Macaca mulatta: one gene and its partners. The protein of the gene in region 6 interacts with the protein of the main gene of each other region in a biochemical or structural test. Links are inferred from orthologs where the notes say so. Each region holds a gene or a part of one and is shown on either strand. Other genes may lie near its edges.

Evidence for each region.
Region 1: the proteins of NOTCH1 (region 6) and SNW1 form a complex in vitro, tested with the Homo sapiens proteins (3 studies listed by BioGRID). The link is inferred for Macaca mulatta from reciprocal best matches to the Homo sapiens genes NOTCH1 and SNW1.
Region 2: the proteins of NOTCH1 (region 6) and RBPJ form a complex in vitro, tested with the Homo sapiens proteins (5 studies listed by BioGRID and IntAct, with this or other methods). The link is inferred for Macaca mulatta from reciprocal best matches to the Homo sapiens genes NOTCH1 and RBPJ.
Region 3: the proteins of NOTCH1 (region 6) and JAG1 form a complex in vitro, tested with the Homo sapiens proteins (3 studies listed by BioGRID and IntAct, with this or other methods). The link is inferred for Macaca mulatta from reciprocal best matches to the Homo sapiens genes NOTCH1 and JAG1.
Region 4: the proteins of NOTCH1 (region 6) and USP10 form a complex in vitro, tested with the Homo sapiens proteins (2 studies listed by BioGRID, with this or other methods). The link is inferred for Macaca mulatta from reciprocal best matches to the Homo sapiens genes NOTCH1 and USP10.
Region 5: the proteins of NOTCH1 (region 6) and NFKB1 form a complex in vitro, tested with the Homo sapiens proteins (2 studies listed by BioGRID). The link is inferred for Macaca mulatta from reciprocal best matches to the Homo sapiens genes NOTCH1 and NFKB1.
Region 7: the proteins of NOTCH1 (region 6) and FBXW7 form a complex in vitro, tested with the Homo sapiens proteins (2 studies listed by BioGRID and IntAct, with this or other methods). The link is inferred for Macaca mulatta from reciprocal best matches to the Homo sapiens genes NOTCH1 and FBXW7.

The regions. Positions count from the first base shown.
Region 1 is NC_133412.1:150,979,795-150,983,733, reverse strand, and holds the start of SNW1 (SNW domain-containing protein 1), read left to right. Parts: upstream 1-1,139; 5' UTR 1,140-1,168; coding exon 1,169-1,182; intron 1,183-3,939. UniProt on the Homo sapiens protein: Involved in pre-mRNA splicing as component of the spliceosome. As a component of the minor spliceosome, involved in the splicing of U12-type introns in pre-mRNAs.
Region 2 is NC_133410.1:25,461,973-25,465,472, reverse strand, and holds part of RBPJ (recombining binding protein suppressor of hairless), read right to left. Parts: intron 1,479-3,500; coding exon 1,341-1,478; intron 1,190-1,340; coding exon 1,077-1,189; intron 1-1,076. UniProt on the Homo sapiens protein: Transcriptional regulator that plays a central role in Notch signaling, a signaling pathway involved in cell-cell communication that regulates a broad spectrum of cell-fate determinations.
Region 3 is NC_133415.1:73,373,568-73,377,067, forward strand, and holds part of JAG1 (protein jagged-1), read left to right. Parts: intron 1-376; coding exon 377-490; intron 491-905; coding exon 906-952; intron 953-1,291; coding exon 1,292-1,465; intron 1,466-1,898; coding exon 1,899-2,049; intron 2,050-2,901; coding exon 2,902-3,066; intron 3,067-3,500. UniProt on the Homo sapiens protein: Ligand for multiple Notch receptors and involved in the mediation of Notch signaling. May be involved in cell-fate decisions during hematopoiesis. Seems to be involved in early and late stages of mammalian cardiovascular development.
Region 4 is NC_133425.1:80,065,905-80,069,920, forward strand, and holds the start of USP10 (ubiquitin carboxyl-terminal hydrolase 10), read left to right. Parts: upstream 1-1,216; 5' UTR 1,217-1,307; coding exon of another isoform or gene 1,308-1,328; intron 1,329-4,016. UniProt on the Homo sapiens protein: Hydrolase that can remove conjugated ubiquitin from target proteins such as p53/TP53, RPS2/us5, RPS3/us3, RPS10/eS10, BECN1, SNX3 and CFTR.
Region 5 is NC_133410.1:111,853,814-111,858,098, forward strand, and holds the start of NFKB1 (nuclear factor NF-kappa-B p105 subunit), read left to right. Parts: upstream 1-1,485; 5' UTR 1,486-1,607; exon of another isoform or gene 1,608-1,767; coding exon of another isoform or gene 1,768-1,787; intron 1,788-4,285.
Region 6 is NC_133420.1:5,990,607-5,994,106, forward strand, and holds part of NOTCH1 (neurogenic locus notch homolog protein 1), read left to right. Parts: intron 1-348; coding exon 349-550; intron 551-1,035; coding exon 1,036-1,189; intron 1,190-1,281; coding exon 1,282-1,466; intron 1,467-1,984; coding exon 1,985-2,117; intron 2,118-2,447; coding exon 2,448-2,705; intron 2,706-2,781; coding exon 2,782-2,894; intron 2,895-3,500. UniProt on the Homo sapiens protein: Functions as a receptor for membrane-bound ligands Jagged-1 (JAG1), Jagged-2 (JAG2) and Delta-1 (DLL1) to regulate cell-fate determination.
Region 7 is NC_133410.1:160,920,560-160,923,252, reverse strand, and holds the end of FBXW7 (F-box/WD repeat-containing protein 7), read left to right. Parts: intron 1-295; coding exon 296-564; 3' UTR 565-2,193; downstream 2,194-2,693. UniProt on the Homo sapiens protein: Substrate recognition component of a SCF (SKP1-CUL1-F-box protein) E3 ubiquitin-protein ligase complex which mediates the ubiquitination and subsequent proteasomal degradation of target proteins.

The DNA of each region.
Region 1 (3,939 bases), on a different chromosome or scaffold from region 6:
GAGTGCAGTGGCGTGATCTCGGCTCACTGCAACCTCCATCTCCCGATTCACACGATTCTCCTGCCTCAGCCTCCCGAGTAGCCGGGACTACAGGAGCACACCACCACACCCAGATAATTTTTGTATTTTTAGTAGAGACAGAGTTTCACCATGTTGCCCAGGCTAGTGTGGAACCCCTGAGCTCAGACAATCCGACCGCCCCGGCTTCCCAAAGTGCTAGGATTACAGGTGTGAGCTACCGCGCCCGGCCAAGAGTTGATCTCAAAACAGGGAGATTATCCAGGTAAGCCTGATCTAATCACACGAGCCCTTTAAAAGCAGAGCATTTTTCTCCAACGGTGGCAGAAGAGGAGACAGAAAGATGTGCTTCAGCTGGCCCGGGAGCAAGCAAACATCCATGTTGTGAACTACCAATAAATAGGGTTCATGTGGGAAGGAGTTGAGAGTGATCCCTAGGAGCTGAGGGTGGCCACCACTAGCAGCACACAACAAAACAGGGAAGTCGATCCCACAACCGCCAGGAACTGATTTCTGCAAACAAGAATGAGTTAGAAGATGGATTTTTCTCCAGAGCCTCCTATGAGATTTCAGCCTTGTCATACCCTGGGCAGGGAACCCAGACGCTCGGTAAATTACCAAGGATTACAAAATATCTCCCCAGGAGATTGTTTTGGGTGGTAGGAGGATACGGTTTAAAGAAAAGTTTTGAGTATGAATGTTTTCAGAGTCCAAGAACTCTCCATTAGCCAGTCTCACTATTACCTATCGTTTTAAACTCCCTATCACCCTTTCACTTACAGAGCTGTCCCGGGGAAGCTTTTGTATTTTGTACCCTTTCTGGGGGAATGGGGCTGAGTAAGGAACGTAATAAAGCGGCCTAAACAGCATCTCCCTCTATCTTTGATATTTTGCCTAGGGAACGCCCTATCATGTCGCATATAAGCGATCGAGTTATGTATTTGTTGCTAGCTGAAGAGATTATTCCTTGATAACCGCTTGGTCCGGTCAGAATAGAAACGAATGGTACTCCCGTTCAAAGAACTACAAATCCCAGAAGGCCTTTCGGCCAGAGCGCCTGCGCATCGCGCGCTCCTTCCTTTCCGCTCCTCATCATCTGGAAAGACCCGCCCCGCGGTGCTGTCGCTCGCGCTGGAAGAAGCGGAAGAAGATGGCGCTCACCAGGTGGGTTGTTGATTGGGGTCCTCGATACGGAAGGGTCTGGGAGTACCAATCTTTTTCATTTCTCTTCCCATACTCTTGGGGCGGTGACCTGACCCGGGGCACAGAATGACGTGGGCCAAAACTACGGCTACGTCCTCCCGCTGGCCGCCGCTACGACTAGGCCTAGTCGAAGCTGGGGTCTTTCCGCGGTTTCCCGGGTTTAGTTCACCCCTCACCGAGGCCGAAAGCCGCGGCGTGGCCTCAGACACTGAAGACTGCATTTTTCGCTTAAGCATCTTGCGGGGAGCGAATAACGCTCCCTCAGGTCCGCGGCTCGGGCGAACAAGAAGGGGTTGGGGACGGTAGTGGCTTATTTGGGCGGAGTGAAGCGCACGGGCTGCGACTGCGCGGCTTTCCGGCCGTTTGCCTGTGTCCCGAAACAAGGATTCCTGAAAAAAGGGACCCGGAGCTGAACAGAGATTTAAATGAGCCACACTAGTGGCAGCTGTCTGCTGATATGCGCCACTGCTCCGCACTTTAACTTTGGAGCTTAGAATTTCTTCCGTAGATAGAACCACCTCAGAGTTTTGCTGTTTTCGGTTACCTTAGTAACTGTCTGTAAAGTGCTCCTTGCCTTTAAGAAAAAGATGCTTTCCAGTGGGAGAGTCCGAGAAGTTACGCTACCCCTGCTAGTCCCCAACGTTGCTGCCCCACCTTAAGTGGGAAAACTTTACATGCGAACTGAACAGGAAAAGTCTAGTGTTCAGGAAGGTTGTAGAGAAAGTAGTCCTTTTAGGACATCAACTTGAGCCCTCTTAACACCCTTCATTCTCCTCACGCATGTTTTTTTGTTTTTTTCTGGCTGATGACAGTATGAATCCAAAAAATTACTTTGGGAATTACTGTTGGTGCTTTGCTCTGTCCTGGGGATTGTGTACACAGAAGAAAATCTGTCTTTGGCAACAGGGAAGATGGGGTACAAGGTATACAGACATAAAACAATCACAGAACACAAAATGCACATTTGTGTTATACTAACCTTAGTGCAAAAAGAATTAGATGGAATAAGTTGTGTGGGCTGGAGAGTTTTCTTTCCCCTCTCCTTTCTAAAAATTTTTTTGCCTTTTTTTTTAAAAAACTATTTTTTTGAGATGGAGTCTTGCTATGTTGGCCAGGTTGGTCTTTAACTCTTGGCCTCAAGCAGTCCTCCTGTTTCGGCCTCCAAAAGTGCCAGGCGTGAGCCACCATGCCCGGCATCTGAATTTTTTTTTAATAAAAAGCTAGAAATGGGGTGTCACTGCGTTGGCCAGGGTGGTCTTCAACTCCTGGCCTCCATCAGTCTTCTCACCTAGGCTTCCCAAACTGCTGGGATTGCAGGCATGAGCTACCATGCCCAGCCAAGAGTTTTTTCTTTAGTAAATGTTACAGGCAGCAAACATTTGAGTACCCTCCAGGTGTGAGACACTGTGTCATAGACTAGTAAAGTTATGAGGGGAGACTTCGTGGAAAAGGTGGAATTTGAAATGGACACACAGGAAAAATTTCTAGAAATGTGATGGGTATTTTTTTATTTTATTTTTTGATGCAGGGTCTCACTCTTGCCCAGGCTGGAGTGCAGTGACCCAATCACAGCCCACTGCATCTTCAACCTCCCAAGGCTCAGGTGATCCTCCTGCCTCAGAGTAGCTGGGACTATAGACGCTTGCCTTGATGCCCAGTTAATTTTTGGTTTTTTAGTAGAGGTGGGGTTTTGCCATGTTGCCCAGCCTGTTCTTGAACTGGGCTTAAGTGATCCACCCATCTCAGCCACCACATCGTGTGGCCTGTCATGGGTATTGTGTGCTTAAAATTGCAGTGGCAGAATGCAGTATTCAAATGACCAGTCTTGGGGACTCCAGAGCTTTCCATACCTACCATCTGGGGTTCCTCAGTATTCTTTGTAACATCCTTTAAACCAGTAAACGCATTTCCCTGAGTTCTGTGAGCTACCCTAGCAAATTAGTTGAACCTGAGGATGAGGTCATGGGAACCCTGGTTTGTAGTCAGTTGGCCGGTGACCTGGACCTACTATTGGCATCTGAAGTAAGGGCAGTCTTGAGGGACTGAGCCCTCGACCTGTGACATCTGACACTATCTCCAGGTAGATAACATCAAAAATGAATTGAATTAGAGGACACTTGACTGGTGTCCAGTAAACAATTGATAGCTTGCTTGATACGTGGGGAAAAACCATCATGTATCTGGTATCAGAAGTGTTGTGTGTTGTTGATTGTTGAGTGAAATAATAGGAGAAACTGAATTTGTTTTAATTTTATACTCTATCCACATGGAGCTTACATTCTACTGGGATAGAAAGACTATGAGTAAAATCATAATGCAATTTCAGGTAATACACGCTAGGAATAAAAGAGGGTTAGAGAGTGACTCAAAGTTTGGGGTGAAGTGGCTATTTTGGGTAAGATGGTCAGAAAACAGCTCTAGAGAGAGGTAACTGAGCAGAGACATGAGTGCTAAGATGCAAGCTGTTGAAAGATCTGGGGCTACTCTAGGCATACTGCCTATGGGATAGCCCTGCTCCTCAAGGAGCAGTCACAGAAGAAGACATCTGGAGAAGAGTTTTCTATAAAAGCATACGAAAATTTGTTCTGTGTTTTCGTTTTTGTTTTTTTGGTTATGTTTTGTTTTGTTTTGTTTTGTTTTGTTTTTTGAGGCAGAGTCTCACTCTCACCCAGGCTGGAGTGCAGTGGAGCAATCTCAGCTCACTGCAAACTCCACCTC
Region 2 (3,500 bases), on a different chromosome or scaffold from region 6:
ATGTTCTTCTACTCACCCAACCTCTTCAGTTTGACCTTGAATGAAACTTACTCATAAATCCCCTTCATCTTGAATATAAATAAATTGTATTGTTTCAGAAAAGGAGAGGGAAAATTGGGAGGGGGTGGCACTATAGAGCACTTTTGTTTTCATTTAACTAACAAAAGCAGTTTTTACAGTTTAAGATCTCCTTTTTAGTGGTTGTTGAGATAGGATCTCACTCTGTTGCCCAGGAAGTCCAGTGGTACGATCACTGCTCACTGTAGCCAGGACCTCCCAAGCTCAAGTGATCCTCCCACTTCCGCTTGAGACTACAGGTGTGCACCACCACGCCTGGCTAAATTTTTTTTTTGGGTGGGGGGGGGCGGCGCGGGGTAAAGACAAGGTCTGACCATGTTGCCAGGGCTAGTCTCGAACTCCTGAGCTCAAGTGATGCCAGGGCTACTCACCTCTCCTTCTCCTGCCTTCACCTGTTGAAGTGCTGGGATTGCAGGTATGAGCCACCATGCGTGGCTGAGTTTCAATGTCTTCTATTGAACAAAAGCCCTAAATCCTATGCTCCTCTCCCAAAGTTAGAAACACCAATTTTATTTAAGTTTTAATAAATCTATCTTCTTGTGAGACAGTAAGCTAACAAAAATTATGCTTATATTTTAAAAGAAATATGAATTTCTTCTTTATGAAAACTTGGTCCTACATTGGGATATGGCAGGTACCACAAAAAAATGAATACATTATCTGAATTAGTAAAGAAAACAAATGTAATTTATAGTGCCCTCTACTGAACATCTTCAGATAAACAGCTAAAAAGGAAATTGCCACCAAAATATATTGGAAATCATTTAAGAAAAAATCATTAAGAATGTACTTGTAAAAACTGGCTAATTACCTTAAAGCATTTCTGAAATAAGGTACAGTATAACTGTCAATTATAAACAGCTCTGATTACTAACACATCTTTTAAAATTAAAAAGCATAAAATTGAGGTGTGTTTTTCCATTTGAATGTTGTGACTTTCCTGTTTAAAGAATTAATTTTTACTTCACATTATCACTAAAGCAAAAGTAGAGCCATACCAATCTTGGTAGTGCCATGCCAGTAACTGAGCACACAAGTTTGACTGTTTGTCCATAATGGATGTAGCCATCTCGGACTGTGAATTCTTCTCCTTCTGATTCATCATCATCCACTACAGTAGGTGGAAAAAGAAATCAAATTGTTACCTTTTTGAATTCATTTTATGATTAGGCAAATGACAAAACTTAATATATCCATATATCGCATCAAAAGAATTTAACGATTTCACACTAAAAACATTCATTGCACATTTTTATACTCACAGAGATGAATAAAAAATGCTCCCCACTGCTGTGAACTGGCATGAAAATTACCTCCTTCTACATGCAAGTATCTGGTACTAACTGTCTGGGATCGTAGTCGATTAAACAGAGCCACCTTTGTTCCTGAGGCAATGCATACTGCAAAGAAAAAAGAGCTCTTATTTATGTGATTGGAGCAAAAGGTGGGGAGGGAGCAAAAGAGGAAATTCTGCTTGGCAGTGTATAATTATTCTTTCTTATCATTTAACAGTTTGACAAATATTTTCACTTTCCAAGACAGTATAGATGACACCAAAAAAAGAAGTCAAGGTAACTGTTACTAATAATGTCAAGCTAATGATATCAAATGTCCATAAAAATAATTTTACAGTGAAAGCTACACAGTATGTTTAATGTGGTGCTGATTATTACAGAAAAACTTACTTTTAAAATAATGAATGTTAGACCGTAGAAATTTAAATGATGATCTATTTAAAGGATGTGTATCTAAATATACTGGTAAGAAAATATTTTCCTGGAATATCACTGAATGGAAAAGCAGACTATAAAATACTCTGTACGCTGTGGTTCCACTAGGCAAATGTATACATTTTTAATATGAGTTTTCATCCAATTACACAGAATACATGCATAGAAAAGGGACTAGAAGGATGTTTATCAGAGTTGATGGTAAATGCCTCTGCATACTGTGATTTTAGAAAATTCTACTTTCTTCTAAATACCTTAAAGTACCATATGAAATTTCTTGAAAATAAATCTATGTAAGCAGAAAAATATTCTGAAAGTGAAATATGTTCTCTGTCATCAAGAAACTAATATTCAGTACAAACACAAAGTTAAAGCAGTTATATAAAACCATGTAATTTGAAATGCAAATAGCCTGAATACAAACATAATATACCTCCTAGTACAGGAGTAGGTCTTGCTTTCCAGCAAGAAAACAAGAAACAAAGGACAACAAACTTAAATCTGATCACGATTCTAGACTAAAGATTCTCTCCTTGACCAAACTTTTAAGCAGGCTGCTCCGAGCATTCAACTAGTATTTGTCCTTGAGCCCTGTCATCAGTCTGCTTAGCTCAGCTGTAGCAAGAATCCTCCTAAATTATCCCCCACTCTGGATCTATGATCATCTTGGCCTGCCTTTAGCACAAATCCTAAGTCAGGTCAGAAAGAAACCTTCTACCTTTGATGTCTCCTTTTAGTAAGTTTCCATCCATTGACCCTCTCACTCTGCTTCATCCCCACTTGTCTTTGTTGTATTCTGAAATGGAATTTGGTTATATTTTCCCCTGTTGCAATAGTACTGAATGAAATCTGTCTTTCCAACTAGTGCCCACGCTCTATTTCTTTTTGACTCTGCCAATTTACAGAAAATACATTAAACTACACCAAATAAATGAAATTAGCAAAATCCAGTATATGGAAATCTCTAGTGGCCAAATGTCTCAACTTACTTAAATAAATTGCAAGAGTTGGTGTGTGTGTGGCGCGGGGGTTGGGGGGGTGGGGGGGTGTTCATAGATTATACTCAAGGACATGTCACAGTATAAACTGTACTATGTGGCAGATTTGAATTTTGATTCAAGCACTCTGATTTTTAAAATAACACTTTAGACCATTTTACATTTGAACATTGATTGGATATCCATCAAACTAAAATAGGGGCAGAAGAAAGTGGGCCTGGAGTACAGGTATAGATGAAGATAAGGTTGGTTGAATTTAAGATCACTGTTGAAGTTAGAGAATGAACATAAGAGGTTTCATTTTATGATGCAACTCTGTCTACTTGAGTGTGTTTGAAATTTTTCCATAATAAAAACTAAGTGATATTAGTGTACTGAGTGGACTAAAATATAACCAATACAAAAAAAAAAAAAAAAAAAAAAACCCATGAGCTCATAATAAAACAAAATGAAAAGAAAGCAAACAAAACAAAAACTCTAAAACCCCACTGGTCTCTTTCAAGGAATGTTATCATTGTTCTGCAAATGAGTAAACAAGCAACTAATCCTACCTTTTCATTACATACTACAATTGAAGCAAATAGCTGATATGGCAAAGTTCCTCTTTGTAGAAAAAACTCCAGCTAACAAATACAGAAGTTATGAATTTAAAAAATTAGAATATTACCTCTTTGCAGCATTTAATGAAATGGAT
Region 3 (3,500 bases), on a different chromosome or scaffold from region 6:
AGGAGTGTTCAGCTGGGTTCCAAACGGGGATGATCTCATGAGGAATGAGCTGTCTGCATTCTTTTTGCCACATTTAAATCCCAGCAACTAGGCTGCGCTGGGTTTTGCACAGAAATGCCTGGTGGCTTTCTGCTCTTCTGTTGGGGGCTGGTTAACTAGCAGCTGGAAAGTTATCAATTAGCGTTCTTATTGGATAATGGCTAGGGAGAGGGATCAGATGCTTAAAATAGAGGGAACCTCTAGTATCTTTTATTTAGCTAGCTTATTAAAAGGTCTCATGTCTCCGACAAACTCTGGCCTGTTCTTTTCTTTTTTACAAAGTGGGGGAGATGCGGGTTGAACTTCATTTCTCATGCTCATCCCCATCTCCTTTCAGATGCAAATGAATGTGAGGCCAAACCTTGTGTAAACGCCAAATCCTGTAAGAATCTCATTGCCAGCTACTACTGCGACTGTCTTCCTGGCTGGATGGGTCAGAATTGTGACATAAGTGAGTGACTTTGTTTCCATTTTGATTTTCATGGAACTTGGGTAGCCGACTTGCTGGTCTGTGTTGAGGCTCCAGTTCTACGCCTCGAGCAGTAGAAGGAAAACCTTAGAGTGGGAATGTTTTTTTGAGAGGGAGTGGTCAGTGCAGCAGTGAACACACACACTTTATCAGGCTCATTTAGCTGCTAAAACCAGCCATATTCTGATAATGTGGCTGAAACAATGATGTGAAGTTTCACTCCCTCATTCTGGAAGAATTAGGGAGGGTCCCCACCCAGCGTAATAACCTTATCTCACGGGAAGCACACAGGAAATCTGATTTGAAACTTATCTATCCTGAGCTGAGAAGGCTTTTCAATTAAGCCCAATTTCACTGTAAATTACCTCTTTAAAATGATGACTTATTTATTTTTTAGATATTAATGACTGCCTTGGCCAGTGTCAGAATGACGCCTCCTGTCGGGTATGTAAATCTTTGCTTAAATCAAAACTTTGACAATTGACAACAAATCTTTAGATTTGTGTGACACTGGGAGAGCTCTGTCCCTGTGAGATTTAAAAACTCGGGTGAAAAACGAGCCTCTCGGAAGTTTCACTAGGGCTTATATTACCCCAGCCTCGTGGGAGTCATTTTGAAGGCATGCACGTAGAAATTCCTCTAACCGTTTTCAGAGGTTTGGCATTTGGCTATTTCAGTGAACCAGCTAAACCGCAACAGTCATGCTAAACCACTGAAGCCCTGTGTTTGTGGAATACATAGAAAAAAAAGCACGTGTCTCTCTCTCCCCTTCTCCTCTTCCAGGATTTGGTTAATGGTTATCGCTGTATCTGTCCACCTGGCTATGCAGGCGATCATTGTGAGAGAGACATCGATGAATGTGCCAGCAACCCCTGTTTGAATGGGGGTCACTGTCAGAATGAAATCAACAGATTCCAGTGTCTGTGTCCCACTGGTTTCTCTGGAAACCTCTGTCAGGTGAGTGGTGGCAAAACCTCAGATGGCCAAGTTTTTACAGCAGAGCCGCTGCCTCCTCCGCTTCCCCTTTACTCCTCCCTCAGCTCTTATGTCTGGAATTTCCTGACATCTATTAACATCCTATTGATGAGTCTCTGCTAGACAAATGCTGGTGGAAGGAGATATTGACGAATTATTTTCTTCTTAGTGTCTTCGTCTTTGTGTTCTATTTGGTTCCCTCCACCCCCTCTTGGGCTCCCTCTCCCACTCTGCTCCATTGTTTCAAATATGGACATTGGCAGTCCCTAGGGCATGGACATGTATCTTACAGGGTGACTTTAATAGAAACAGAAGGAACTGTCAGATTCCAGTGCCTGCTGCCCCAGAGAAGTTATCATGACACCTTTGTTTTACCCTGATCCCTCCCCCTTTTCCCTGTTCCTGATATTTGCAGCTGGACATCGATTATTGTGAGCCTAATCCCTGCCAGAACGGTGCCCAGTGCTACAACCGTGCCAGCGACTATTTCTGCAAGTGCCCCGAGGACTATGAGGGCAAGAACTGCTCACACCTAAAAGACCACTGCCGCACGACCCCCTGTGAAGGTACCTCCCTTCTCCTGGGACCTGGCTGTCTCCACTTTCTCCTTTTGTCCCTACTTACTACCACTGCCCCTTGCTACACTTGAGAAGTAATGTATTGGTGAGGAGGACCGCTACAGTGAAATGATCCTGTCTGTGTAGCGGGCCGCAACACGTGGAAACAATCTATTCAGGCCTGCCAGTGGGAGAGCCATGTCTACAAGTAGCCCAGGGGAGAGAATGTGAAATCCATTTAGCATTCCTGTTCTGGGGTGGGCTGATGTGCAACGCTGAGGCAAATGCCTGAGAACAACACTGTCAACAGAACTTCCTGCAACGGCAGACTGGGGGAATGTTCTGTATCTGCACGGTCAGGTGTGGGAGCCCCAGGCAATGTAGACTGTGACTAGCGCAACTAGAAACTGATTTTATTTCATTTTAGTTCATTTAAATGTAAATAGCCACATGTGGCCGGTGGCTGCTGTATTAGGTAGCACAACATTTAAAGCTTCTATAAGATTGTCCTTGAGCCTTGCTTAAGGTCAAAAAGGAAGTGAATAAAGCAGGTCCTTTTTCCTTAGCAAGTGTTTACCAAATTGGGTAGATGTCAAAAGTAGCATGAAGGGGACCTGCAAACATGTGGGTTTTCCTGGTTGTGGAGGGAGAAAATGCTTTAAAACTCTTTGCCTGGAGTCTCGACTTTGCCACATCATAATGTGATGTGGCATGTTGCCAGTATCTTGGCTTCCCTGGGGTGTGTCTCATTAGCCAGAGGGTCCCTGTCTCCAGGAAAGTGGGCTTGGCCCAGGCCCTTGGCGTAGGAATGCTGCGTCTGTGGGTGCATGACTATGATCTGATCCCAAGCCTATCTTCTAGTGATTGACAGTTGCACAGTGGCCATGGCTTCCAACGACACACCTGAAGGGGTGCGGTATATTTCCTCGAATGTCTGTGGTCCCCACGGGAAGTGCAAGAGTCAGTCGGGAGGCAAATTCACCTGTGACTGTAACAAAGGCTTCACGGGAACATACTGCCATGAAAGTAAGACTCCCTCATCCGGGAAGGGACCAGTGCTCCCCGGTCTGCCCCTGCCCCTGCCCCGCCTTGGGATCATTGGTGTTGAAAGTTTTTTCTTTTTTCTTTTTTTTTTTGAGACCAAATTTCGCTGCTCTTGCCCAGGCTAGAGTGCAGTGGCGCCATCTTGGCTCACTGCAACCTTGGCCTCCCAGGTTCAAGCAATTCTCCTGCCTGCCTCAGCCTTCCTCAGTTGCTGGGATTACAGGCATGTGCCACCATGCCCAGCTAATTTTGTATTTTTAGTAGAGATGGGGTTTCCCCATATTGGTCAGGCTGGTCTTGAACTCCCAACCTCAGATGATCCACCCTGCCCACTCGGCCTCCCAAAGTGCTGGGATTACAGGTGTGAGCCACTGCACCCCGCAGTGTTGAAATTGTTTTAATCAGAAACAGCAAGG
Region 4 (4,016 bases), on a different chromosome or scaffold from region 6:
GTATTTTTAGTACAGATGGGGTTTCATCATATTGGCCAGACTGGTCTCCAACTCTTCACTGTGATCCGCCCGCCTCGGCCTCCCAATGTGTGGGATTCCAGGCGTGAGCCACCGCGCCTGGCCCACTTATATGTTTCATGGCATCCCACTTATGAAGAGATCAGGCTCCCTATTTTATGTAACGTGGGAATGGATCTTCCTGTTAATCTCCTCTGCTTAGCGTAAGGTCTAGCAAGAGCAGACTCTCTGTAGGTGTTTGTTGAACAAATGAAAGCAATGATAGTGGTTATTAGTAACAATCCCAGTAGCCAATTTTTATTGACTGTTCTCTTGGCCAGTGTGCTCACATTAATCTAATTTGAACTTCACAGAAATCTTACGCTTGACGACATATTTGTGTTATTCACAGGTGAGGAGACCAACGCTTAGTGAAGTGAAGTCGCTTGTCTGAAATCACAGCTAGAAAAGGGGCCAAAACCCGAGGGTGGGCCCACTGGCTGGAAAACGGTGCAGTCAGGCAGGGGCGCCTGCTTCTCAATAATGAATGGACCAACGACCCCCAAGGCTGGTTTGCCGTGCACACGCACGCACGTGTGCAACACGTAGCACTTGCTGAGTGCTTGCTACTTGCCAGGCCTCATGTCACTTTGCGCGTGCTTTTATGCCCTACGTTTTGTTTCTGTTTTCCTTTTTTCCCCTAATGCCTAGCAAAAGGCGTGGCCCAGGCGCCCAGGCAGGCCTTAGGGAGTGAATGAAGAGTGAACGAATGAATGAATGGGCGGCAATGGGATCTTCATAAACCTGACCCTCCTCGGAGATCTAATGCGAACACTGCCGAGGCCCGGGCCCAGGGACGCCGAGGGCGGCTCGTGGGCCCCCGGCCGACCAAAGGCCGCGGCTCCCGAGCTCCGGGGGCCCAGGTGCCAGTAGGTGAGGAGCCGGGGCCCGCCGGCGCCTCGGCGTTGCCACCTCCACCTGCCTGCTGCCTCCCCTTCCGGCTTCGCAGGCAGGACCCGGCGGGCTCTTAGAATGCAGCCGCCGGGCATCTTCCGCCCGAGGGTCGCGGGGCTCAGAGTCCGGCCGGTTCCAGGCGGGGCAGGGAAGGTCCGCGGCCCGGCAGACGCACGCCCACCTGTCGGCCGCGCAGGCGCAGCAGCACGCCGGCCTCCCCGCGCCCCGCGGCGCGCGGCCAGTGCGCAGGCGCGGCGGCCGATGCGAGTGTGTATGTGCGGGCGAGAAGATGGCGGCGGCGGGGGAAGCAGCGTGAGCAGCCGGAGGAACGCCGAGTCCCATTGAAACGGGCAGCCATGGCCCTCCACAGCCCGCAGGTAGCCGCCGGTCCGCGCCTTCGGCCGGAAGGGGCCCCAGCCCGGGGCGGGCGGACGCCGCAGCGGGCGGGCGCCCGCGCCCTGCCCGGAGCGAGCGTGTGGGAGTGGGGGAGGGCGCCGGGACACGCTGCCCGGGCCTAGGCCGGAGCCACCCGCCGCCTCCGCGCCCGTCGCGCCTTCGTCCCCCTGAGCCACCCAGGCCCCCTAGTCCCGGAGAGGCAGAGGGACTGGGGCTCCGGTCCCCGCCTGGGGAGGGCGTGGGGGGCGCCGAAGGGGTTAACCTCCCTGGGGCTGGACCGCGGGGCGAGCCCGGGGTGTGGAGTGGGGCCCTCCCCGCCGCGCCGGCCCAGGGAGGCGGCCCGGGGGTTCCGGGAGTCCCCTGGAGCGGCAGGAGCCCCAGAGCAGCTCAGGTTGCTGCCTCTACCCAGAGCGAGCCTCAAAGATTTAGGGGTGCCCTGTTGCCCCTTTGCCCCCAAAGCTTCCTTTTTCAGCTTGATTGATGACGCGGGGGCTGCTGATTTTCTGGTTTTTAGATAGAAGTCGCTGAGTAGCGGCGTTAGGCTACTGTTGCAAAGAAAACTCGAAATAAGTCGCAAGGACCGTACTTTCACTTGCATTTGAGTGACATCCCTTGCACGAATCCATCCCAGCCAGGCTGACACTAACGCACCCTGCCTGAACACTATCTAAAGCTTAGGGGCCCTTTACAATAATCCCGTAGTGGAAAGAAAGAGCTCTTTTTGGGAGATGTGCGTGTAGAGTTAAGCTCTTATTCACCTCTCCCACCCCTTCTCCCACCCCATGTCTCCCCTCCGCCATTGTAATTATTCTGGACAAAAATCGGCGTGATGTTATTATTTGTCAGTCTTGCTTTAGACTGCTAATTTGTTGACATCTGGTCCCTATAAATTGTTGCACACTTTTTAACCATCTCATTGTGTATTTGTATTAAATATGGGGAAATGAAACAAAGTAGCCATTCGGAAAACTGGTGGCGGGTAAAATCATAACCCTTCATAAGCAGTTGGGTTTTGTTGCCGTTCTGCAGATGAAGTCAATCTGACTAGACCTCTTTTGAAACATGATTTTCGTAACTATTGTAATGAATGCGTGTTGTGGAATCTAAAATGCGAAAACTTTTTTGAAAATTAGATGTTACGACAAGCTTCAATTGTTTTAAATTAGCTGTAGTGTAGTTTGCATCAGAACTTCCCCCTTTAACGTTTTGTTCCTTTGTACATTTACTTTTGTAAGTAGTATAGGTCTTTGCACGAAAGAAGGCATCAGCAGTTGAATAGTTTTTACAAATGTATAACACAAAGATTTTAAGAGATTTGGTGTATTTAGCTTTGTTTATACCTTTCTATTTTAAACAAAAAAAGATTTGATATTTGCTTTTCCTCAACTTAAATACTAATTAGCCTATTTAAATTGGTATGAACAAGTATAAGTCTCATTATGAATTAATGTGTAATATTCCTTGTGATTTTGACATGAAGAAAGCATCTTTAGGCATAACTCACTTCCTTTATTTAATAAGCATCAATCACAATTAAAGGTTGATTGAAATGTTAATTAATGGGGATGGATAATATGTAAACTTAATTGTAAATTCGTTGTCCCAGTATTTACATTTTATACAACAGTCTAAATCGTCGTTATATACATCTTTAGAAAATTGGAGTAGCAAAAGTTGGCGAACAGAAATGTTAGCAACACTTTGGGTTTATTCTTTTAAAGTGTGATTTAAATGCTTTTAAGTTCTAGCATGGAGAAAGTAGCAAAGGAAATAGTTTGATTTCTCATAATTTTCTTTTCTTTTTTTTTTTTGAGATGGAATTTTGCTCTTGTTGCCTAGGCTGGAGTGCAGTGGCGCCATCTTGGCCCACTGCAACCTCTGCCTCCGAGGTTCAAGCGATTCTTCTGCCTCAGCCTACCAAGTAGCTGGGGTTACAGGCGCCCGCCACCACGCCCGGCTAATTTTTTGTATTTTTATTAGAGAGGCGTTTCACCATGTTGATCAGGCTGGTCTCAAACTCCTGACCTCAGGTGATCCACCCGCCTCGGCCTCCCGAAGTGCTGGGATTATAGGTGTGAGCCACTGCCCCTGGCCGATTTCTAATAATTTTCAATAAAAAAAATAGTAATGGAAACAAGTAATGGAATCATGTATGACAGGATTTAGTTACTGGTTCCTGCTCGAGTCATTCTGAGCGTTTTAATAAATTTGTTTTATTTGTTTGCCTACTGTTCTAAGAGTCTTGCAGCCTTAATGGCCATTCTTTCATTCAGCAAATACTGATTGTTTATCAGGTGTTAAGCGCTATGATATGCATATTACTTGTTTCTGTTGGGAATAACAACTGCAAATTAAAGGTCTTATTTTAAATTTGACTTGTCCGGGGCGGGGCGCGGTGGCTCACACCTGTAATTCCAGCACTTTGGGAGGCTGAGGCGGGTGAATCACCTGAGTCTGAGCTGGAGACCAGCCTGACCAACATGGAGAAATCCCGTCTCTACTAAAAATACAAAATTAGCGGGGCATGGTGGCATGTGCCTATAATCCCAGCTACTCGGAGGCTGAGGGAGGAGAATCGCTTGAACCCGGAAGGTGGAGGTTGCAGTGAGCTGAGATCGCGCCATTGCACTGCAGCTTGGGCAACAAGAGCAAAACTCTGTCTCAAAAAA
Region 5 (4,285 bases), on a different chromosome or scaffold from region 6:
TTTTTGTTTGTTTTGTTTTGTTTTTTGTTTTTGCCAGAAAAACACTCCACCAAGAAGGTTTTTATAACCTAGTGGAGGAGGAGGACGGAGAGTGGGCACAAAACGACTAGGATGAACATGCTATAAGGAATCTGAATGCCACTGCAATATTGCCTGGTAAGGACCTGATTACCGATGTTTTAAAGCTAAGCTTTCAGTTGTCACTCGACCCACTAGTGAAACAATGAGCTCTAAAATATATGTTTCAGCTCAAGATTTCTTATGTGGGGAGGTAATGCACCCCAAGGTATCCCCAGCCTGTGCCTAGTACAGCGCCCAGCACTAAAGCAGCTCAGATGCCAGTGAACGGTGGTCACTGGCAGGCCTGTCAATGGGTGCCAGTAGCGGTCTCTTCAGAGAAAAAGAAAACTCCCCTCTGCCAGATCAGTATTTTATGAGCTGTAAACCAAAACCATTGCTACCACCATCACTATAATTCTATCCACAGTAATTATCATAAAGGCCTAACAATGCCTTGTAGATGAATATTGAGTAACTGCCCTATAACGAGGATATTTAAGACCGCACCAAAAACCAGTAGAGGGTTATACTTTACTGGACACAAGTCGGTTATGATAACGAAATTCTAGTTTAATCTGTGAAGAGATCTGAATGTAACTGAGACACATTTAAATGGAATATACAGATGAGCTTTATTTTTATATCTGGCATGCTTGGATCCACGCCGACCCTCCAGCTGCTCGGGCCTGCCCTTAGGGGCTATGGACCGCATGACTCTATCAGCGGCACCGCCGCCGCCTCCGCGCCGCCTGTGTTCCCGGACCACTGGGCCCGGCTGGCGCTTCCTGGGGGCGTCCCTACCGGCTCCAGCCCTCGGGATTTGGGAGCGCCCGGCTAGGAAGCCAGAGTCACGCCAGGGATCCCGGCGTCCAGGCCGCCTAACGCGCGCCCCTCGCCCGGCGCCCCGAAGCGGCCCCGAGGGGCGGGAGCCCAACCGAGCAACCAGGCCGGGCCGGGGGCGCACGGCCCCCAAAAGTGCGGGCTTCCCCCACCCCCGGCAGCGACCCCACCTCCCGCCCCCGCTGCGTGCGCGCGTGTGTCCGTCTGTCTGTATGCTCTCTCGACGTCAGTGGGAATTTCCAGCCAGGAAGTGAGAGAGTGAGCGAGAGAGAAAGAGAGAGAAGTGCACCAGCTAGCCGGGGCAGGAAGAGGAGGTTTCGCCACCGGAGCGGCCCGGCGACGCGCTGACAGCTTCCCCTGCCCTTCCCGTCGGTCGGGCCGCCAGCCGCCGCCGCCCTCGGCCTGCACGCAGCCGCCGGCCCCGCTCCCGGAGCCCAGCGCCGCCGAGGCCGCAGCCGCCCGGCCAGTAAGGCGGCGCCGCCGCCCGGCCACCGCGCGCCCTGCGCTTCCCTCCGCCCGCGCTGCGGACATGGCGCGGCGCTGACTGGCCTGGCCCGGCCCCGCCGCGCTACCGCTCGCCCCGACCCGCACCCGGGCCCGCTCGGGCTCCGGCCGGCCACCGCCTCTTCCCTCTCCAGCCCGCAGGCCCGCGCCGCCCAGGAGGGAGAGACCCGCGCCAGGAGGCCGAACGCGGACTCGCCACCAGGGTAAGCCAAACTCGGGCGAGTGGGGGCCCGGCAGGGGACGCGTGGCTCGAGTCCCGCCATCCAGCTCTCCGCACCCCCTCCAGCCCCACTCGGACTTCCTCATTCCTGCGCTAACCGCTGGGCTAGACCGTGGGAGGAGGTTGACAGTAGTGAGAGGCACATGGGATTGGCGACAGCGGGGTAAGGCACATCCGGACCTCGCAGGGGCTAGTCGGCCGAAGGGCCGTGGCTGCCCGGCGCTGATTTCTCTTCACGTCCCTCCGCGGGGTGGGAACGCGAATCGGAGGGGAACTCTTACAAACTTTTAAAATCCCCCAACCCCAGCCCCAGCTGGGGGATAGTGAGAAGGTTGAGGTGCGCTGCGGCGCGGAGGAGAGAGGGAAGGTGGTTGGTGCAGTGCAGAACCAGATTTCACCTAAGGGCGTTCCATGAAATGAAAGAAGAAGTGCTTGTCAGTCCTCCTGGCAGGGAAAGCCCTCTCCAGCTCCCCAGAATTGAATAGGAGAGTCTATTCATCCCTCTCCTACTTCTAAAAGAAGCCTGGCCCTCTCTCTGTCTCTTTTTCTCTCCCTCCCCCCACCCCTCCGTACACACACACACACACACACACACACACACACACACACACACACACGATATAGTCACCTGCTATAGGACTTGATTCTGATCCTCTGGGGCCTGGCATTTGAGAGAGAAAATAAATTACCTAGTTGGATACTTAGAGCACTTTTTAGACTTGATTATGTAAAATTCTTGGACAGTGCCACCATGTATTATGCATGACTTCTGAAACAAAAATAATGTAAAAACAAAGCCTATCCTAAATGTAAGTTTTTCTATGGTCCTTAAAAACAGACACCAGGGAATGTTTGCCCTGACTTACTGGTCTATCCTGAAACTGAAATGGGACTTAATGATACAGGATTTAATTATCAAGATTTGAGACATTTTCATGGACTTTGTTAAGTAGAGGTTTTCAGCATTACAGTTTATGAAATAACCATATTTAACTCAAAGATTTTGTTATAAAGCTTATAATCTGAAAAAATGCTTATGGTATTACTAGAACATTTAATAACTCTGGCATCAAAATATTCTACACACTGGTGATCTTTAGTAAATACTAAAGGTTAGGGTCAAGATGTTCAATAATTTTCTTCTAGCAGAATCCCACAACTGAATATTGTCAAGCAGTTTAAACTGCATTCGTGTTTGTTAAAACTTTAAAGGGAAACTTAAAATTGAAGTATGTTGTTTTTCTGATTTTAATATTGTGCTTTCTAGAGATGAATCCTTTTACTGCTTGAGGCACTATGGGAATTACGTGTTTAAATGTATGTATTTAAATTTGAAGCAGTGTACTTTTTTCAGTTTATAAACTTGGGAAGACAGGAAACGAAAAGATTTATTTCCTGTAGAATTTTACGTTCATGATTTAATTGAATTGCTGAAATGAAAAGAACATATACGATGAATGGAGACTTGGAATCTGAGATTATTCATCCATATTGATACACCTGCAATTCCTAAATGCCCTCCCCTGCTTGTTTAGATAAAATGTCTTCCTGGTCTGCAACCTACTGGACAAACTTGAACACAAAGGAACACACGTTTTATGTACATTTAATACTGGAACCGAAAAGCTGCTTGCAGTGAAAAGCAAACCACTTCTAAACTCTTTGACACTTTTTAAGGAAAATAGTATAATCGTTTTGGGGTTGGTGGTGATTTGAAAATCTTTTATCTTTTTTTCTGAAATTTCATTCTTACATTCGTCGTTGGCACTCACTTGTGCTGAGTAAATGCCCCTGTTTTTCAAACCCAGATAGTAAATACTGGGGTATACATACAAAAATAGTCCTTCCCCTTTGTAAGCATTGCTTTGATCTTTGCACTTCCTTTTTACTCTACCTCTTAAACAAGATCTGTGATGACTGAGTTGATTAAAGCACAATTAATCTTGAAATAGGAAGAATTTTAGATTTAGTGATCATATTCCTTACATTTCTGTTGTTACTGTTCCTGGAAACAAATTGAAGTAGTCTGAGAAACTAATTATTTATGTAGGTTGTTTTAGCTACACTTTTAGACTTGCAGATAATTGATTAAGTAAGTTACTACCTTGACTTTCAGGGATTGCTCATTGTGGTAGATACGAGGTCTAGATAGGGAATTGGCAGCTACATGAATGTTGGACTATCATTCCATCAGCAAGACCTTATTTTTACCTAATTTATGAGAGGTATTTCTCTCTTCAGAAGAGGTGAAAGTTCTGGCTTCTGGGGGGAAGTGGTTACTTCATAACCTTCAATTGGTTTGAACTTGGGAGAAGTAAGAAAAGTAGTCGATATTTTCAAACAATAAAATAATTGTGTCTGAGTTGCTGCATGGATTTTTCATGAAGTCCTCAAAAATGTCATCTTTTTCATCTTCAGGTCTTAATAGATGTGCTCTTCTGAGCATAGAATTGACTGCAGTAGGAAGTGTATCTGGAAATGCACAGTACTGTTGTATAACCAATAGAGTAAATACTCAGATTATGCGCTTCTAGTCCACAGATTGATCAGAAATCACATTAACAGGAATGGATGTCTATGAATGAATGGCTATGCAAAATTTCTCATTAGCTTTTTTACTTTTAGTAGGAAGTTTGTTTTATTCGGTTGGTCTCTTGGTTT
Region 6 (3,500 bases):
AACGTCAGTCTCATCCCTGATTTCTGACGTTAATTACCTCCCGTATTACCAGGGCAGGTTCTGGTTTCTCCCTCATTCTTACTTTAACCACCCTATGCCTGTGCGTTTGGTAAAGCCACTCTCGACCTGACTTATAAAGAAGGCAGGAAATGGAGGTGTGACATGGCGTGAGAGCCGGGCCCCGGGCTCTCGCTGGCTTCCCAGGATCAGCCAGGCTGCCCTGGGCCTGTTCTGGCCATCAGGCCCCTTAGGGCTGAGCGGAAGGGGAGGTGCTGGCGAGGTAGTGTCTGCTGGAGCGGGGACCAGCAATGTCCTCCTCTCAGCCCCTGCCTGTCCACCCCCCTGCAGCTCCTGCTTCAATGGTGGCACCTGCGTGGACGGAATCAACTCGTTCACCTGCCTGTGTCCACCTGGCTTCACGGGCAGCTACTGCCAGCACGATGTCAACGAGTGTGACTCACAGCCCTGCCTGCATGGCGGCACCTGTCAGGACGGCTGCGGCTCCTACAGGTGCACCTGCCCCCAGGGCTACACCGGCCCCAACTGCCAGGTGAGTGCGCCAGCCACAGAGGTGCCCGAGGGAGGGGCTCTGGGTGGGTGCCTGCCTGCAGGGGGCGGGAATGGTTACCCCCAGGTCCCACCGTGTCGGCTCAGGGTCACCCCTACACTCCTGGGCAGAGGGCTTCGGGGATCTGAGCAGCCAGTGAAGGAATCTGATGCGGGAGCAGCAGGCATCTTCATTTCAGTCTGGGTTTCTGGAGCCAGGGCAGGAGCTCAGGAATTGGGGGGATTGAGGAAAGACGTTCCTTCTAGCAAAGGCCGAGGGTGGTCTGGACCTGCTGAGGGCCCTGAGGGAGACCCAGCCCAGGCTGTTTTCCATGTGGGGGCGGTGGGGAGTCCAGGGACGGCAGTTTCCACTTCTGTAGAATGGGTTGAGGCCCAGGTTGGAGTAGGCCCCTTGGTGGATGTGCGTTCTGAGCTACTGGGGAAATGGCCAGGGGGGTGGGCACACGGCTGACCCCAGCCTGTCCCTAGAACCTCGTGCACTGGTGTGACTCCTCGCCCTGCAAGAATGGTGGCAAATGCTGGCAGACCCACACCCAGTACCGCTGCGAGTGCCCCAGTGGCTGGACCGGCCTTTACTGTGATGTGCCCAGCGTGTCCTGTGAGGTGGCTGCGCAGCGACAAGGTAACCCGCTGTGCCCACCCGGCTCGGGTCCCAGCCCGCCAAGGTCCTCCGTGGGCCTGGGCCTCACCTGTCCCCCACCCCAACCCCCACAGGCGTTGATGTTGCCCGGCTGTGCCAGCATGGAGGGCTCTGCGTGGATGCGGGCAACACGCACCACTGCCGTTGCCAGGCAGGCTACACGGGCAGCTACTGTGAGGACCTGGTGGACGAGTGCTCACCCAGCCCCTGCCAGAACGGGGCCACCTGCACAGACTACCTGGGCGGCTACTCCTGCAAGGTGGGGGCCCATCCTAGGGTGAGGGTTGTGGCCGACACGAGTGTTGCCACACACTGGGCCCTGACTGGGAGCTGGCACAGTGGAGAAAACTGAACCTGATAGGCCCATGCACCATTCAGTCTCATTACGGGAGGGCTGGGGTAATCAGGGTAGACCACCTGGAAGAGGCGGCCTGTGGAGAGCCCGAAGGAGGGTGAATATTGCTGAGAAGTGGGATGGGGTTTTCCCTTCCTCTAGATTGTGTCTGGGCTTGGCCAACACCTACCCTGAGACCCTCACCTCTATCCTACGGGACGGAGTCCACCCACCCCCAACAGGCAGTGACTCCGGTCACCGAGGCCCCGCCAGGGTCTGTTGGGCTGGGTCTCCCTCCAGGTCTGACAGGAGCGAGGGGCCTGTGGCTTCGCTGGACCTGAGGGCAGCTCACGTGGCCCTGTCAGCCCTCATGGTGGGGTGGGGGAACGCTGCATCCTGGCACCAACTGAGCCGCAGGGCCCCTTGTTCTGTTGCCTGCACAGTGCGTGGCCGGCTACCACGGGGTGAACTGCTCTGAGGAGATTGATGAGTGCCTGTCCCACCCCTGCCAGAACGGGGGCACCTGCCTTGACCTCCCCAACACCTACAAGTGCTCCTGCCCACGGGGCACACAGGGTAAGGGCCACCGCACGGAGTGCTTATCGGGCATCCATGGCCAGGGCAGGGGTAGGGCAGGCACCCCGTGATCGGCCCGAGGCATCCAGGAACCAGCCAGAAACTCCCAGTTTCCCACGTGAGGCCAAGGCCAACGCAGAGCTGCCTGGGGAAAGGGCCCAGAGTGGGGGGCCCAGCGGGAAGGGCGTCTCCACGGCACCCTCTGCACCTGGCTCACCCGAGCGTCCGTGCAGCCCCAGACCTGAGCGCTTGTTGTCTGGGATGGACACGCGGCACGGCAGGGCTGGCACAGCAGTGAGTTCGGGCCGCTGATGGCACCTGGCCCCACAGGTGTGCACTGTGAGATCAACGTGGACGACTGCAACCCCCCTGTTGACCCCGTGTCCCGGAGCCCCAAGTGCTTCAACAACGGCACCTGCGTGGACCAGGTGGGCGGCTACAGCTGTACCTGCCCGCCGGGCTTCGTAGGTGAGCGCTGCGAGGGGGATGTCAACGAGTGCCTCTCCAATCCCTGCGACGCCCGCGGCACCCAGAACTGCGTGCAGCGCGTCAACGACTTCCACTGCGAGTGCCGTGCCGGTCACACTGGTGGGTGCCGTGCCCGGGCGGGTGGGGCTTGCAGGGCAGCAGGGTGAGCCTCTCACTGCCCTGCTCTCACCCCCAGGGCGCCGCTGCGAGTCAGTCATCAACGGCTGTAAGGGCAAGCCCTGTAAGAATGGGGGCACCTGTGCCGTGGCCTCCAACACCGCCCGTGGGTTCATCTGCAAGTGCCCTGCGGTAGGTGCAGGGGTGCAGGGAGGTGGGGGCCCTCCAGGGGAGACACCTGGGAAGGTCCACCTGAGGGCCTTGGGGCACAGACTGGGCAGCGATCCTCACAGCCTTCATCTTCCTAATCACCCTGACATCATTTTTTTTTAGTTTCAATAAATGATTTTAGAGACATTTTAGATTTATAGAAAAATGGAGTGGAAAGTAGATGCCCTGGGGTGGCTCTCCCCTGCACGCAGTTCTCCTGATTAGCAGCTTGCTATTTCACTCCAGATTTCACTGATACATTGTTACCAACACCAGCCCTTCCTGTAGCTGGGGCTTGCCCTTGGCTTTGTGGTTGTAGGTTTGGGCTGAGGTATGACACGCCTGCCCACCCTCGCAGGATTATGGCAGAGAGTCCCTGCCCTAAAGTCCTCAGCGCTCCACCAGTGTACCCCTTCCTCCATCTCCCGACCCCCTGGCACCCCCTAATTTTTCTCTGTCGATAGAATGTTTGTAAAGGGTTTTGCTGCTGGGGACAAGGCTGTAGGCTGCCTCCCAGGTTAGGGGAGAGCGGTGGAACTGCTGGCCGGGGGCTGGGCGCGAGGTGGCGGGCGGTGGGGGACGGCCCAC
Region 7 (2,693 bases), on a different chromosome or scaffold from region 6:
TCACCAAGGCATGCTGTCGTTCACACAGCCAGAAAATAAGACATTTGTCTGGTAGCTAACCAAGTGTCTTGGAAGACAGGCCTCTTGAAAGTTAATGTTTCAGTTACAAATTGCTACCAGATTTTCTTATATCCCTGCTGATCCTAAAATACTGAGGACATAGGTTTCTAAATATGTATCATTTCAAATGTTGCATTTATTGTATGTTGTAAAGTAGAAGTCTACAAATTATAATGTAACTAACCCATAGCCATTATTTCTAACCAGTAATTAAATTCTTTTGGTTTTTGTCTAGGTCCCAACAAGCATCAGAGTGCTGTGACCTGTTTACAGTTCAACAAGAACTTTGTAATTACCAGCTCAGATGATGGAACTGTAAAACTATGGGACTTGAAAACGGGTGAATTTATTCGAAACCTAGTCACATTGGAGAGTGGGGGGAGTGGGGGAGTCGTGTGGCGGATCAGAGCCTCAAACACAAAGCTGGTGTGTGCAGTTGGGAGTCGGAATGGGACTGAAGAAACCAAGCTGCTGGTGCTGGACTTTGATGTGGACATGAAGTGAAGAGCAGAAAAGATGAATTTGTCCAATTGTGTAGACGATATACTCCCTGCCCTTCCCCCTGCAAAAAGAAAAAAGAAAAGAAAAAGAAAAAAATCCCTTGTTCTCAGTGGTGCAGGATGTTGGCTTGGGGCAACAGATTGAAAAGACCTACAGACTAAGAAGGAAAAGAAGAAGAGATGACAAACCATAACTGACAAGAGAGGCGTCTGCTGTCTCATCACATAAAAGGCTTCACTTTTGACTGAGGGCAGCTTTGCAAAATGAGACTTTCTAAATCAAACCAGGTGCAATTATTTCTTTATTTTCTTCTCCAGTGCTCATTGGGCAGTGTTAATGCTGAAACATCATTACAGATTCTGCTAGCCTGTTCTTTTACCACTGACAACTAGACACCTAGAAAGGAACTGCAATAACATCAAAACAAGTACTGGTTGACTTTCTAATTAGAGAGCATCTGCAACAAAAAGTCATTTTTCTGGAGTGAAAAAGCTTAAAAAAATTACTGTGAATTGTTTTTGTACAGTTATCATGAAAACCTTTTTTTTTTTTTTTTTTTTGCCAACCATTGCCAATGTCAATCAATCACAGTATTAGCCTCTGTTTATCTATTTACTGTTGCTTCCATATACATTCTTCAATGCATATGTTGCTCAAAGGTGGCAAGTTGTCCTGGGTTCTGTGAGTCCTGAGATGGATTTAATTCTTGATGCTGGTGCTAGAAGTAGGTCTTCAAATATGGGATTGTTGTCCCACCCCTGTACTGTACTCCCAGTGGCCAAACTTATTTATGCTGCTAAATGAAAGAAAGAAAAAAGCAAATTATTTTTTTTTATTTTTTTTCTGCTGTGACGTTTTAGTCCCAGACTGAATTCCAAATTTGCTCTAGTTTGGTTACGGAAAAAAGACTTTTTGCCACTGAAACTTGAGCCATCTGTGCCTCTAAGAGGCTGAGAATGGAAGAGTTTCAGATAATAAAGAGTGAAGTTTGCCTGCAAGTAAATAATTGAGAGTGTGTGCAAAGCTTATTTTCTTTTATCTGGGCAAAATTTAAAACACATTCCTTGGAACAGAGCTATTACTTGCCTGTTCTGTGGAGAAACTTTTCTTTTTGAGGGCTGTGGTGAATGGATGAACGTACATCGTAAAACTGACAAAATATTTTAAAAATATATAAAACACAAAATTAAAATAAAGTCGCTGGTCAGTCTTAGTGTTTTACAGTATTTGGGAAAACAACTGTTACAGTTTTATTGCTCTGAGTAACTGACAAAGCAGAAACTATTCAGTTTTTGTAGTAAAGGCGTCACATGCAAACAAACAAAATGAATGAAAAAGTCAAATGGTTTGCCTCATTCTCCAAGAGCCACAACTCAAGCTGAACTGTGAAAGTGGTTTAACACTGTATCCTAGGCGATCTTTTTTTCCTCCTTCTGTTTATTTTTTTTGTTTGTTTTATTTATAGTCTGATTTAAAGCAATCAGATTCAAGTTGGTTAATTTTAGTTATGTAACAACCTGACATGATGGAGGAAAACAACCTTTAAAGGGATTGTGTCTATGGTTTGATTCACTTAGAAATTTTATTTTCTTATAACTTAAGTGCAATAAAATGTGTTTTTTCATGTTAGTATGCCTGTTTCTTCCACTGAAGTAATAATCCTTCATTATAAGTATTTAGGATTTGTCTATAATATTTAAATCAGCAAAATCTTGGTTTCTTTGCATCTCCTGCTGTGTGGCATAGAAATCAATACTTCAGACCTGTTTTATACAGCAAAAGTAAGGATAATGTGCTGCAACTGCAAATCTTACTTCTCTCCTAGACTATGAAGGAGGACACTCCACTGTGCTCATCTCTGTAGATTGCATTGGGGTATATAAATATGAAATCTGGTTCCATCAAAGAATCAACAAAACTTTTGTGATAATTACAACTAGAAGCCTTATAAATAACAAATTCATTTTGAAATTTTGACCACATATTAAGTGCTTACCCTCGATACTTTCTGTTCATTCTCTCTCAAGCTCCCACTATCCCTGAGAAGTAGGCACTATTATCTCCCGTTTTAAAGACGAGCAAAAACCTGCAGCTGAGACTGGTTAGGCAATTTGTCGAATCATAGAACTAGC